Linked DNA regions of Drosophila melanogaster. The protein of the gene in region 1 binds, or shares a complex with, the protein of each later gene. Each region holds a gene or a part of one and is shown in the gene's direction. Other genes may lie near its edges.

Region 1 (3,600 bases):
CTGCCCCTACTAAACCCAAAAGCTTTATCACAATCTCTCAACTGATGTTCTATTTATATATTCTTTCTTTCTATTGCCAAAACTATTTACCTAAAACCAAAAAAAAAAAAAAACATGAAAACTAAATGAAAACTTTTGCACAAAACACACAAACAATCCGAATGCTATGCAACGTCAAATCAACGTGGTGTCTCGTTGCCCAAAAATTGCCCATTTGCATTTTCGCTGTTACTCACTGCCAACTGCTGGGCGCCGAAAAACTTGACCGCCTTGGCACTCGAAACTGGCGCCCAACGTATGCCGGCCATTTACTTCTGCAGGGAGGGCTGCAATGGGAATTGCAAGAACCTGAACTGCAGTCGCCATAGCCACGGACGCGATGACCAGCAGCAGGACAACAACAACTCCAATAGGAGTTGCAGCCTGCAGGAGGCGTCGCCTGGGGGAGCAGGTGCAGGTGTCACACCAGGCGCTGACAACCAGGACAGCATAGAGAGTCGCACCAAGGGCGTTTCCCAGGCGCCGCAGACCCACAGTGGCCCAACGGGTCCACCATCCAACACCTCGAGCGAAACTATCGCACAACCTGCCCCTAAGCTTCAACCCGCCCTGGAAACCGTAAGGGAATCGGTGATGGAAGAAAGTCCTTCGAAGGATCCCGGCGACAAGGGACCACCGCCGCCCGCCAGCACATCCACATTGACATCCCAAACCACCACCTCCTCCAGCGCAACCGCGGAGCCAAGTGCCAAGGCGGCCGAGAGTCAAGCGGGAAGTGCCGGCAGCAGTGGCAGTTGCAGTAACCCAGCGGCGGTGCATCGGCAACGCCGCCTAAGGACACCCACCTGGGCCAGGTCCATGTCGACGAACAAAACGTACTTGAAATTTGATTTCTATGCTAGACTAACGTTTATCCGTTACGCCTCTTCAGTTCGTTCGATTTGCCTTTATCGTTTCACGTTTGCGTTAACCAACCAACAACCACACAGCTCCAGAATGAACTACTTTCTATATATACACACATAACTCTATGAACTCTGTCTCTCTATCTCTCCTTTATCCAATCTATCCATCTGTCTGCTGACCTCTGTCTGCGATTTCCACTGCTGTAATCTTCTGTCTAGCCTCTGTCCCCTACCCCAAATCTTTTGCTCGCTTCTGTTGTAAATAACTATTTTATCCTAGACTAATCAAAAAAAAAAAAAGAAAAAAGGACACTTGTTTCGTTCCCCAGCCGCGCTCAGCGGGATTGTAAATGTTTCGTTGCCGCGTTTGGACAAAAAATTGCTTACTACGTTTAAATACTCCGTGCAACTATTAAATCAAACTTACATTCATACGTAGTAAGCACTTGAAGGAGTGAGAACTGGAAGATATACTTTAAATGTATTCAAAACTGCTTAAAGTATTTGTATGATACATTTGCATTTCTGAGAAACTATATCTTCCACTTTTGACGCCACTCGCAAGCAGCAACTCTCCTAGTCTTGTCGACCAGTGTAATTTTGTGAATACATGTACAAAGTTTGAATACCGCACATGAATCCATGGCATGTTGATTGTCCTACATTTGTTTGTTTTCTATATTAAAAAACTAGCTTGCGCATGTGTTTTGTCGTTTTTGAACTTTTTTTAACTTTCCCGCCTAAGTGTGTTAAATACCGTTTAATGTTTACCAACACTGGCCAGCCGATCGTGACCAGGTGGCCACGCTGCGCAATGGTAAGACCGTACTGCCTGCAATGCCTGGGTATTTTACGCGATCCGTGACTGGGGTCACACCATTGCCGCCAAAAAAAAACATTTTCATTCGCCTCGTTATTTAAACATTTAAAAAAAGCATTATCGAATAGTTCATTGAAGTCGCGGCCTAATTTGGGTTTCATTTAACCGTACAAACGTGCCGCGCGTTCGAAATGAGCAGTGATAAAGTGAAAAACGGCAACGAGCCCGAGGAGTCGGAGGAATCATGCGGCGTGAGTAGCGAATGACAAATGGCTGTGCGAACCGAGAATTAATGGATCTTTTGGGCCATGTGCCGGCTGCAGGATGAGTCGGCCAGCTATACCACCAACAGCACCACCTCGCGCAGCAAGTCCCCGTCATCCAGCACGCGCAGCAAGCGCCGCGGTCGCCGGAGCACCAAATCGAAGCCAAAAAGTCGCGCCGCCTACAAATACGAGTAAGAATATGCACTTTCTCAGCTGGCCACTGATACTGAACCTACAAATGATTACCATGAAGCACCCACGTGAAGGAGAACCACGGAGCCAACATCTTCGGCGTAGCCTTCAACACGCTGCTGGGCAAGGATGAGCCACAGGTCTTCGCTACGGCGGGCAGCAACCGGGTGACCGTCTACGAGTGCCCTCGACAGGGCGGGATGCAGCTGCTCCACTGCTATGCAGATCCGGATGTGAGTCGCCAGGATACAGAATACACTTTCAAGACCCTATTGATCAGTTGGCTAAAGTTAGGGGCTTCATACATTAGACATCGCATTCAAAGCTGTAGAAAAAGTGGGATCCAGTCAAAGTTTCTATTAAATCATTGCTTTTGTTAATTGTTTTAAAGTAAGAACAATCGTTACAGGCTTTCAGCATGGTTTCACAATATCCAAACATTTATCATTTCTTGTATTAAGTTTGGTTTTTCATAACAGTCAAGTTTTCAAATTAAAGCTTATATTGTTAATTTAGCCGAGAGTAACTGAGAATATGGTCGCAAATGTAATTGTACAAACTCGAAATACATCAACAAATCTTGAATTCCCTTCCCAGCCCGATGAAGTATTTTACACCTGCGCCTGGTCGTACGACCTTAAGACCTCTTCACCTCTCCTGGCCGCTGCTGGATACCGCGGAGTCATCCGGGTTATTGATGTCGAGCAGAATGAGGCGGTGGGCAACTACATTGGCCATGGACAGGCCATTAACGAGCTGAAGTTCCATCCGCACAAGCTACAGCTTTTGCTTTCGGGCAGCAAGGATCACGCGATAAGATTGTGGAACATCCAGAGCCATGTGTGCATTGCCATCCTGGGCGGAGTGGAGGGACATCGCGATGAGGTGCTGTCCATCGACTTTAATATGCGTGGAGATCGCATTGTGTCGAGCGGCATGGATCACTCGCTGAAGCTGTGGTGTCTGAATACGCCCGAGTTCCATCACAAGATCGAACTGTCGAACACTTTCAGCCAGGAGAAGTCAACGCTGCCTTTCCCCACGGTGACCAAGCACTTCCCCGATTTTTCAACGCGGGATATACACAGGAACTATGTGGACTGTGTGCAGTGGTTCGGCAACTTTGTGCTCTCCAAGTCCTGCGAAAATGCCATTGTCTGCTGGAAACCGGGACAACTACATCAGAGCTTCGAGCAGGTGAAGCCGAGCGACTCCTCCTGCACGATAATTGCGGAATTCGAGTACGACGAGTGCGAGATCTGGTTCGTGAGATTCGGCTTCAATCCGTGGCAGAAGGTGATTGCCCTGGGCAATCAGCAGGGCAAGGTGTATGTGTGGGAGCTGGATCCCAGCGATCCCGAGGGCGCACACATGACCACCCTGCACAATTCGCGTAGCGTGGCCACTGTGCGCCAGA
Region 2 (3,831 bases), on another chromosome or scaffold:
ATATGGTTAAAATATAAACTCAACATTCCTTTTACAACAATTACTTTGCATATTTATTGATAATTTACCTACTGAAACACAACACTATCTAATCGTCCTTCAAGCCCAGGGCAAAGTCTTGGGCTTCCCCGCCATTCCTGAAAATCCGCACATACGCGGACTTCGGGCCAAACTTCCAAATGGCGACGTAGGGCAAGTAATAGGTGAATATGTCCACCAGCCAGACGCGGAAGTTCAAGTACCATCGCACCAGGGCATACCTGTGCAGATATGTGACGAGGAACAGGCCGTAGCTGACTATGAATCGGTCCCACCATCCCATGTCGTAGTAGTGCAGCTTCTGCTGGGGATCCTGCGCCACTCCGTTCTCATGATCGAAACTGTAGTACTCGTATCCCTTAACGCAGGCCAATCGCTTGGCAAAGAATATGTTGGCATTCACCGACAGCATGGTGTTTATGTGCCACAAGCCATTAATCAGGGCCTCGGTCATTCGTTTGAAATCCTCCCCAGTGTTTGCCAGAGCTGGTTCGTATACCTTACGCATCACAATGTCCAGGCGGAGCTTTGACTCCGCCCAGTTCCTACCGCAGATGTTGTACTCATCCTTGATGCCCAGCAGATAGCCGAGAACGCGCCACATATGCGTAGTGGCCTCCAGGAAGTCCTGATCTTTCAGCTTTATGCGATGTGCGCCCATCGTTATGAAGCCAATGAAACCGAACTGCGTGAGCGCCAAATCCTTCTGGGTGATCTGTCCAGCTCCTTGGCGGGCGCACGCATGACTGGAGCGGCTGTGGGCCCGCCTCACGGCCGCAATGCTGGTCCAGAACCTGCTGCCACGGTCCGCGATGTTGTGGTTATACCAGGCTTGCGTGTGGAATATAGTACGCACATAGCGACGGTAGGCGGTGAACGCTGTCGAGGATTGGCGTGTGCACGACAGCACCCGGAGAATGGATGGAATAGCCAGCACGGCAATAAGACCAGCCAGCATTCCGGCGTTCATTACAAAGCGATACGTGCTAAAGTAGCTCTGACCACTGCAAGGAAAAGGAATAAAGAATCAATTAAGTAATTCGAATGCAGTTATATTATTTAAATTAAAATATACATATACATACATGTACATATACATATATATTGTTAAAAGTAAATGTATGTCGCCTTTTGTTATTAATATGTAAGCCCGTAGGTACAAAATTGGAATAATGAGCACAGATAAAGATAAGTATTATATGCTGCCTTTTCGCATTATTATTCACATAGCAAACTGCTACATAACTCCAAGCTTATAAATAACCCATGTGTATATGGATATTGTAATTATCACAATTATTTCTACTGTGGTTACTGGGCTAATATGCAATCAGTGAACAATTAGTCACGCAACTTACCGCCTGAATAGCTGCTCATCGTACCACGAAGGTAGCTCCAAATCAGCACCGCTGTCGCCCTCCTGACTGCCCTCCTTCATTAGGTGCTCCAAGTAGTCCTCGGGCTCCTGGTGATCCTGAAGCAGTTTTGAAGCCCCCGCTGCATTATGACCATCTTTGGAATGCGATGACGACTGCATTTTCCCACTGATCCCTGGAAAGTGACGTGCGATGTAGAAAACGAGCTTGAGGTCCAAATTCGGATTACACAAGTGAAAGAAAGAAAAGACAAACAAAATCGTCGGCGCGCCAAGAGAGAAAGTTTTTCATTCAACCCGCCAACAAGTCCACTGTGCACTTACACGTTTCACGCTTCGCGGGATGGGGGATCTCGGATGAGCTGCTGGTACAACCATCAACCTGCATGTCGGCCAAATTATTGCTTGTTAAACTATTTAGCAAACTCAATAGTTCAGCTCGTTACGTGCAAAAACATTTTGCATACACAATTGGAAAAAAAGCGTTGAGGATGAATCACGGCTGCCCACCGTCGTTGCGGTTGGGGAACTTAACTGCAACTGGCACGTTAGGCTCGTCAAATAAGAATGGAAAGCCGGTCATTGGCGCGTAAACTGGTTTCGAATCATTCGCACTGATAACGAATTAAGTAGTAAACTTTGTTTATGCACTTTAGTGTGCCCGCAACTGCAACCGTTAAAATATACCTTTTAAAACCCCAAATATATCGATGTAAACCACAAAATACTAAAATCATGACGCAGGAACGTAACAAGTATAAAAATACCGCGCAGTGTCATCTCCATAACTCTGTTATCGTTATCGTAATCGAATATGGCAGTCGTCTCGACAATCTTTAGCATTGCATCTCTATCATCGACGACGCGCTTGCAAAAAAACGAAGGAAATTAGCCAATTTCTATTTTGCCCTGACGTTACGCCGTTTAAAGTGTAAGTTCCCGGCCAGGATTCGACTCAATCCCTGCCACAACGACTTTCGGTCAAGTGTTCGTTGCGAGAGCTTTAACTACGTAGCGAACTTTCGTAGTTTTTCTGCACACGTTTTGCCGCTTCGGCTTTTGTTTTGGCGCCCGATTTTTTCGGCTGCCGACTTTTGACGCAGACTGAGAAATTGCGTGCCTAAAAGCCTCGAAATGGTGGATCGCAGCGATAATGGTAAGTCCGGTTAGAAGTTAATCGCCGCAATGTGTAACCATCGACCTTTAGCAGCGGAATCCTTCGACGACGCCGTCGAGGAGCGCGTGATCAATGAGGAGTATAAGATTTGGAAAAAGAACACGCCGTTCCTGTACGATCTGGTCATGACGCATGCCCTGGAATGGCCCTCGTTGACTGCCCAGTGGCTGCCGGACGTGACCAAGCAGGATGGCAAGGACTACTCGGTACATCGTCTTATACTGGGCACACACACATCTGACGAGCAGAACCATCTACTCATCGCCAGCGTTCAGTTGCCCAGCGAGGATGCCCAGTTCGATGGTTCGCACTACGATAACGAGAAGGGCGAGTTTGGAGGCTTTGGATCGGTGTGCGGCAAAATCGAAATCGAGATTAAGATCAACCACGAGGGCGAAGTGAACAGGGCCCGCTACATGCCCCAGAACGCCTGTGTAATCGCCACCAAGACGCCGTCGAGTGATGTCCTGGTCTTCGACTACACGAAGCATCCCAGCAAGCCGGAACCGTCTGGCGAGTGCCAGCCTGACCTGCGGCTGCGCGGTCATCAAAAGGAAGGCTACGGACTCTCTTGGAATCCCAACCTCAATGGTAAGTGCGTAGCTGTACCTAGTACTTATATATTAGCTCAGATAAGAGCTTGACACATCTAAAATGCATTACGTTTTAACCCTTAATGAACATCTTGATTGTCCTTACAGGCTATTTGCTGTCAGCCTCTGATGATCACACCATCTGCTTGTGGGACATCAATGCCACACCCAAGGAGCATAGGGTTATTGATGCCAAGAACATCTTCACCGGCCACACCGCCGTTGTTGAGGACGTGGCTTGGCATCTGCTACATGAGTCTCTGTTCGGATCGGTGGCTGACGACCAGAAGCTGATGATCTGGGACACGCGCAACAACAACACCTCGAAGCCCTCGCATACAGTGGACGCTCACACAGCGGAAGTCAATTGCTTGAGCTTTAATCCCTACTCGGAGTTCATTCTGGCCACGGGCTCCGCTGACAAGACTGTAGCTCTATGGGATCTGCGCAACCTCAAGCTAAAACTACATTCCTTCGAGTCGCACAAGGACGAGATCTTCCAAGTGCAGTGGTCGCCGCATAACGAGACTATTCTCGCCTCCTCCGGCACTGACCGCCGCCTACACGTCTGGGATTTGTCCAAAATCGGCGAGGAGCAGAGTACGGAGGATGCTGAGGACGGACCACCCGAGCTGCTCTTCATCCAT
Region 3 (3,831 bases), on another chromosome or scaffold:
TCGCCAACCATGGGGGCCTCGTTGTTCAGTTGGGGAAGGGCTAGAATGTATGGGAAGCAGTTAAGTAGAGCTGTTGTCGAGCGTAACCCATTGCAATCCTTGCCAGAGGCCATGAAGAAGGCGAGGCCCAGGATGAGAGTGCACACGAGTAGGAACTTCATGGTAAAGCTGGTTTGTTGTACAGATGGCTTGCTTGCTTCTGATGCCTTGGAACTGCACAGACTCCCTATTTATACAGAATGCGGCTCGATAAAAACCGCTCCAAATATACAAAAACACTTGTCGTTGCACAATTTGCGAGCAACTCGTTAGTTATAGATGAATTGATATTGAAATGTCGCTTGGTGTATTTGGCAGCGATGGGTAACGCCATTAACGAAACACATAAAGCTTAACAATTGATTTCTTTTCTTTTTGTTTTTTTGTACAAAGGAGCTTCTATAATTAAACAAAATGTGTAGGGGAGAAATAAGAGGTACTTTAAAAATACGCTTACAAAGCGAGGGTGTCCGAATCAACATGTAGGAAAAAAGAAAAGGGTAAGGGAACTAGCAATTAACTAAATAAACGTCCTGGAAGCTGGCCGGTGCTCATGTACTGTTGTTGTTACTTTGCCGCGGCTTGAGTATCAGCTTCCCCGTGTCGTCACAGCTCATATTAAAGTCTCCCAGTACCATTCGCGTTCTCGATGTAATTATTTGCGGAGCTATGACTAGTTTCTGTATGCCCAGGATGAACAGGACGACTGCGGAGAGAAATGATAAGGTTTACAAAATCAGTAAGTCAGTTTCAAACCAAAAAAATTAGATTAGATTAAATGGAAGTGTTTGTTAGCTGAAAATTCTTAATCAGTTGGACTATCAATATTGATATATACAAATCGAATTTGATAAAGCGAAGAGCTTTGACAAGATTAAAGGCAACCTAATGTTGCTAAAATTTGGAGAATGTACTTATGTAGTTTGCATAGATGTGATAGATATAAGGAGTGTATTCTACTCAAAATAACAGTAGAAATACCTAAAAATTTGAAATTCTTGATTTTGATCCTTTCTTTTTACCGAGTAGCCTGAGATAACCTGATATATAGTATCGACTTGCTCTACGATATGATTATATGGATTTAAATAGCATGGTATGGCTTGGTATTAAAATTATTCTCCATACTAGGTAGAATATCCGAGGTTCAATGACCGCCGCTGTTGACTACAAAAAGTGACCTATGTACGGAGTACAGTAGTGGCTACACCGATTCTTACCCAATGTTAGGGTGGCGACTGTGAAGACGGGATGAATCCAGAGGGACTCCGTTAGCGGTACAACGGTGGTGCGCGGATCGCGTAGCCAGTACCAGGCGCTGATGGCGGTGCACATGGACATGGCGGAAAGGACAACTGCAAGAAGCTCTATGGTTATTACGGATTGTAATGCTCCCTGGTGTTCTCATTATACGGATGCAACTTACTGCGCCAGCGGAACGTCGAGGGACGGTACGATGAAACCACTTCGGTGAGGCGCCGCTCGAAGGCCTTGAGATCTGCAGAGGAGCGAGGAAAACAAACCCAGTTATGGTTGGTAAACATAGTCAGTGGCTTGCGCGTTTTCCGGCTCTCTTTTGCCGGCGAGTTACATACCTTCGCAGGCTGACGGTTCCATTGCAGCTATTTCCTCAAAGCTCGTGGCCGTCTTAATGCGATTAAATTTGTCCAGTTTAAATATTATTGTATTTATTATTATTATTTGATGAGGTTCTCATAGCTTTCTTTTCCTCTTTTTATGTTTTTGATGACATTCCACGTTTGAGAGCACTGATAACGGGCTGCGTTTCTCAACACTACACAAAGCAGGGTCGTACCAAAGAGGGGCTCTTTGTTTATTTCCTACTTTCAGTACAAAATGGTTGTATAGCTAATTTAAAGTGAGTATTATATTTATGTATTATTTATATTATATTTATATTATTTTAATACAAAAATATCATAGTTTTTATTATAATATAAATATAATTAATGGCTTACCGGACAAATTAAGTACCCACTAAATGGTCTTCTACATACACCCATGTGTCTAAGTTATTCTTCCTGCAGTACAACGGTCACACTGCGGCAGCTGTTGCAAAAAAAGGCGGATAATATTTGTAGCAAAATCAGTGTTTTTTATACGTAAAATCAACAAATATAAAGTCCCTCGAAGGCATTATGAATAGCACTAAAGTGCCGCCCGAGTGGAAGAGGCGTGTCAAGTCGGAGTACATCAAAATCAGGCAGCAGAAGCGCTACAAACGTGCCGACGAGATCAAGGAGGCGTGGATAAGAAACTGGTAAGCGCGGGAGAGATGGTGGATGTCTGGGAATCGAAAATCTATGTACACATATCCTCCAGGGACGAGCACAACCACAATGTACAGGATCTGTACTGCGAGTCGAAGGTTTGGCAGGCTAAACCCTACGATCCGCCGCATGTGGACTGTGTGAAGCGGGCGGAGGTGACTAGCTACAATGGCATTCCCAGCGGTCCGCAAAAGGTGCCCATTTGCGTGATCAACGCGGTCACTCCCATACCCACCATGTACACGTGGGCACCAACACAGCAGAACTTCATGGTGGAGGATGAGACGGTGCTGCACAATATACCCTATATGGGCGACGAGGTCCTCGATAAGGATGGCAAGTTCATAGAGGAACTGATCAAAAACTACGATGGCAAGGTTCACGGCGACAAGGATCCCTCGTTCATGGACGATGCCATCTTCGTAGAACTGGTGCACGCCCTTATGCGCTCCTACAGCAAGGAACTGGAGGAAGCCGCTCCGGGTACAGCGACTGCCATTAAAACAGAGACGTTGGCGAAATCAAAACAGGGCGAAGATGATGGGGTAGTTGATGTTGACGCAGATGGTGAATCTCCCATGAAGCTTGAGAAAACCGACAGCAAAGGGGATCTGACTGAAGTTGAGAAGAAGGAAACTGAAGAACCGCTGGAGACTGAAGATGCGGATGTTAAGCCCGATGTGGAAGAAGTCAAGGACAAGCTGCCCTTCCCTGCGCCCATTATTTTTCAGGCCATCAGCGCTAACTTTCCAGACAAGGGCACCGCGCAAGAGCTCAAAGAAAAGTATGTAATTTGATAACCAGGTTAGTAAATATCCCTTCTTACGGCTTTTTCTTTTTGCTAGGTACATTGAGCTTACGGAGCACCAGGATCCGGAGCGCCCACAGGAGTGCACACCCAACATTGACGGCATCAAGGCCGAGAGCGTTTCCCGGGAAAGGACTATGCACTCCTTTCACACGCTCTTCTGTCGTCGTTGCTTCAAATACGACTGCTTCCTGCACCGTAAGTTAAACGATGGGAACTGCTGCCAGCTGGGTTACCTAATGACTTTACGTTTTGTTTTTGCTTTTCTTTTCTTGTTTGGAAACAATATTATCTTACCAAAAAACACAAATCTGTACCATTTCTTAAACCCCCAAAAAAAAAAACGAAATTCCAAAATGTATTGAATTAATTGCAATTTAGGTCACCATGTGCAGGGTGAGTCGTTGTTGTAGTTGTTGTTTCGATAACCACACGCACACACTCTCATGCCGTTTGCCCGTCAACGCCTCCGCATCCTCATCTCGCTGTCTATGAATATAATTTTTATAATAACCCATATCGGTGGATAATTTGGCTATGTTTGTCATGTGTCTAAATTGACCCCTCGGTGTTGCTCACCTCATTTTCGTGTGGCTTTGGCTGGACCATTTCTCTCTATCTCTTCAAATGTAACCGATTACCCTCATGCTAATCCAAAAGCGTTTCATAGACATCAAGTGATTTTCGCCCGAT

The links.
Region 2: esc (region 1) and Caf1-55 share a complex: the UniProt entries of both Drosophila melanogaster proteins name them as parts of the polycomb repressive complex.
Region 3: esc (region 1) and E(z) share a complex: the UniProt entries of both Drosophila melanogaster proteins name them as parts of the polycomb repressive complex.

What each region holds. Positions count from the first base shown.
Region 1 is NT_033779.5:11,827,552-11,831,151, reverse strand, and holds the start of esc (extra sexcombs), read left to right. Parts: upstream 1-1,746; 5' UTR 1,747-1,916; coding exon 1,917-1,976; intron 1,977-2,048; coding exon 2,049-2,182; intron 2,183-2,244; coding exon 2,245-2,416; intron 2,417-2,780; coding exon 2,781-3,600. Other genes in the region: Pde1c (phosphodiesterase 1c), read left to right, coding at 321-875. UniProt on the Drosophila melanogaster protein: Polycomb group (PcG) protein.
Region 2 is NT_033777.3:15,223,345-15,227,175, forward strand, and holds the start of Caf1-55 (chromatin assembly factor 1, p55 subunit), read left to right. Parts: upstream 1-2,231; 5' UTR 2,232-2,548; coding exon 2,549-2,570; intron 2,571-2,621; coding exon 2,622-3,182; intron 3,183-3,292; coding exon 3,293-3,831. Other genes in the region: CG31344 (uncharacterized protein), read right to left, coding at 89-1,043, 1,398-1,590, 1,739-1,802. UniProt on the Drosophila melanogaster protein: Core histone-binding subunit that may target chromatin assembly factors, chromatin remodeling factors and histone deacetylases to their histone substrates in a manner that is regulated by nucleosomal DNA.
Region 3 is NT_037436.4:10,636,129-10,639,959, reverse strand, and holds the start of E(z) (enhancer of zeste), read left to right. Parts: upstream 1-2,080; 5' UTR 2,081-2,198; coding exon 2,199-2,320; intron 2,321-2,382; coding exon 2,383-3,114; intron 3,115-3,175; coding exon 3,176-3,336; intron 3,337-3,519; coding exon 3,520-3,534; intron 3,535-3,831. Other genes in the region: CG18628 (uncharacterized protein), read right to left, coding at 1-40, 104-161; Cnep1r2 (CTD nuclear envelope phosphatase 1 regulatory subunit 2), read right to left, coding at 591-745, 1,260-1,406, 1,466-1,537, 1,635-1,656. UniProt on the Drosophila melanogaster protein: Polycomb group (PcG) protein. Catalytic subunit of the Esc/E(z) complex, which methylates 'Lys-9' and 'Lys-27' of histone H3, leading to transcriptional repression of the affected target gene.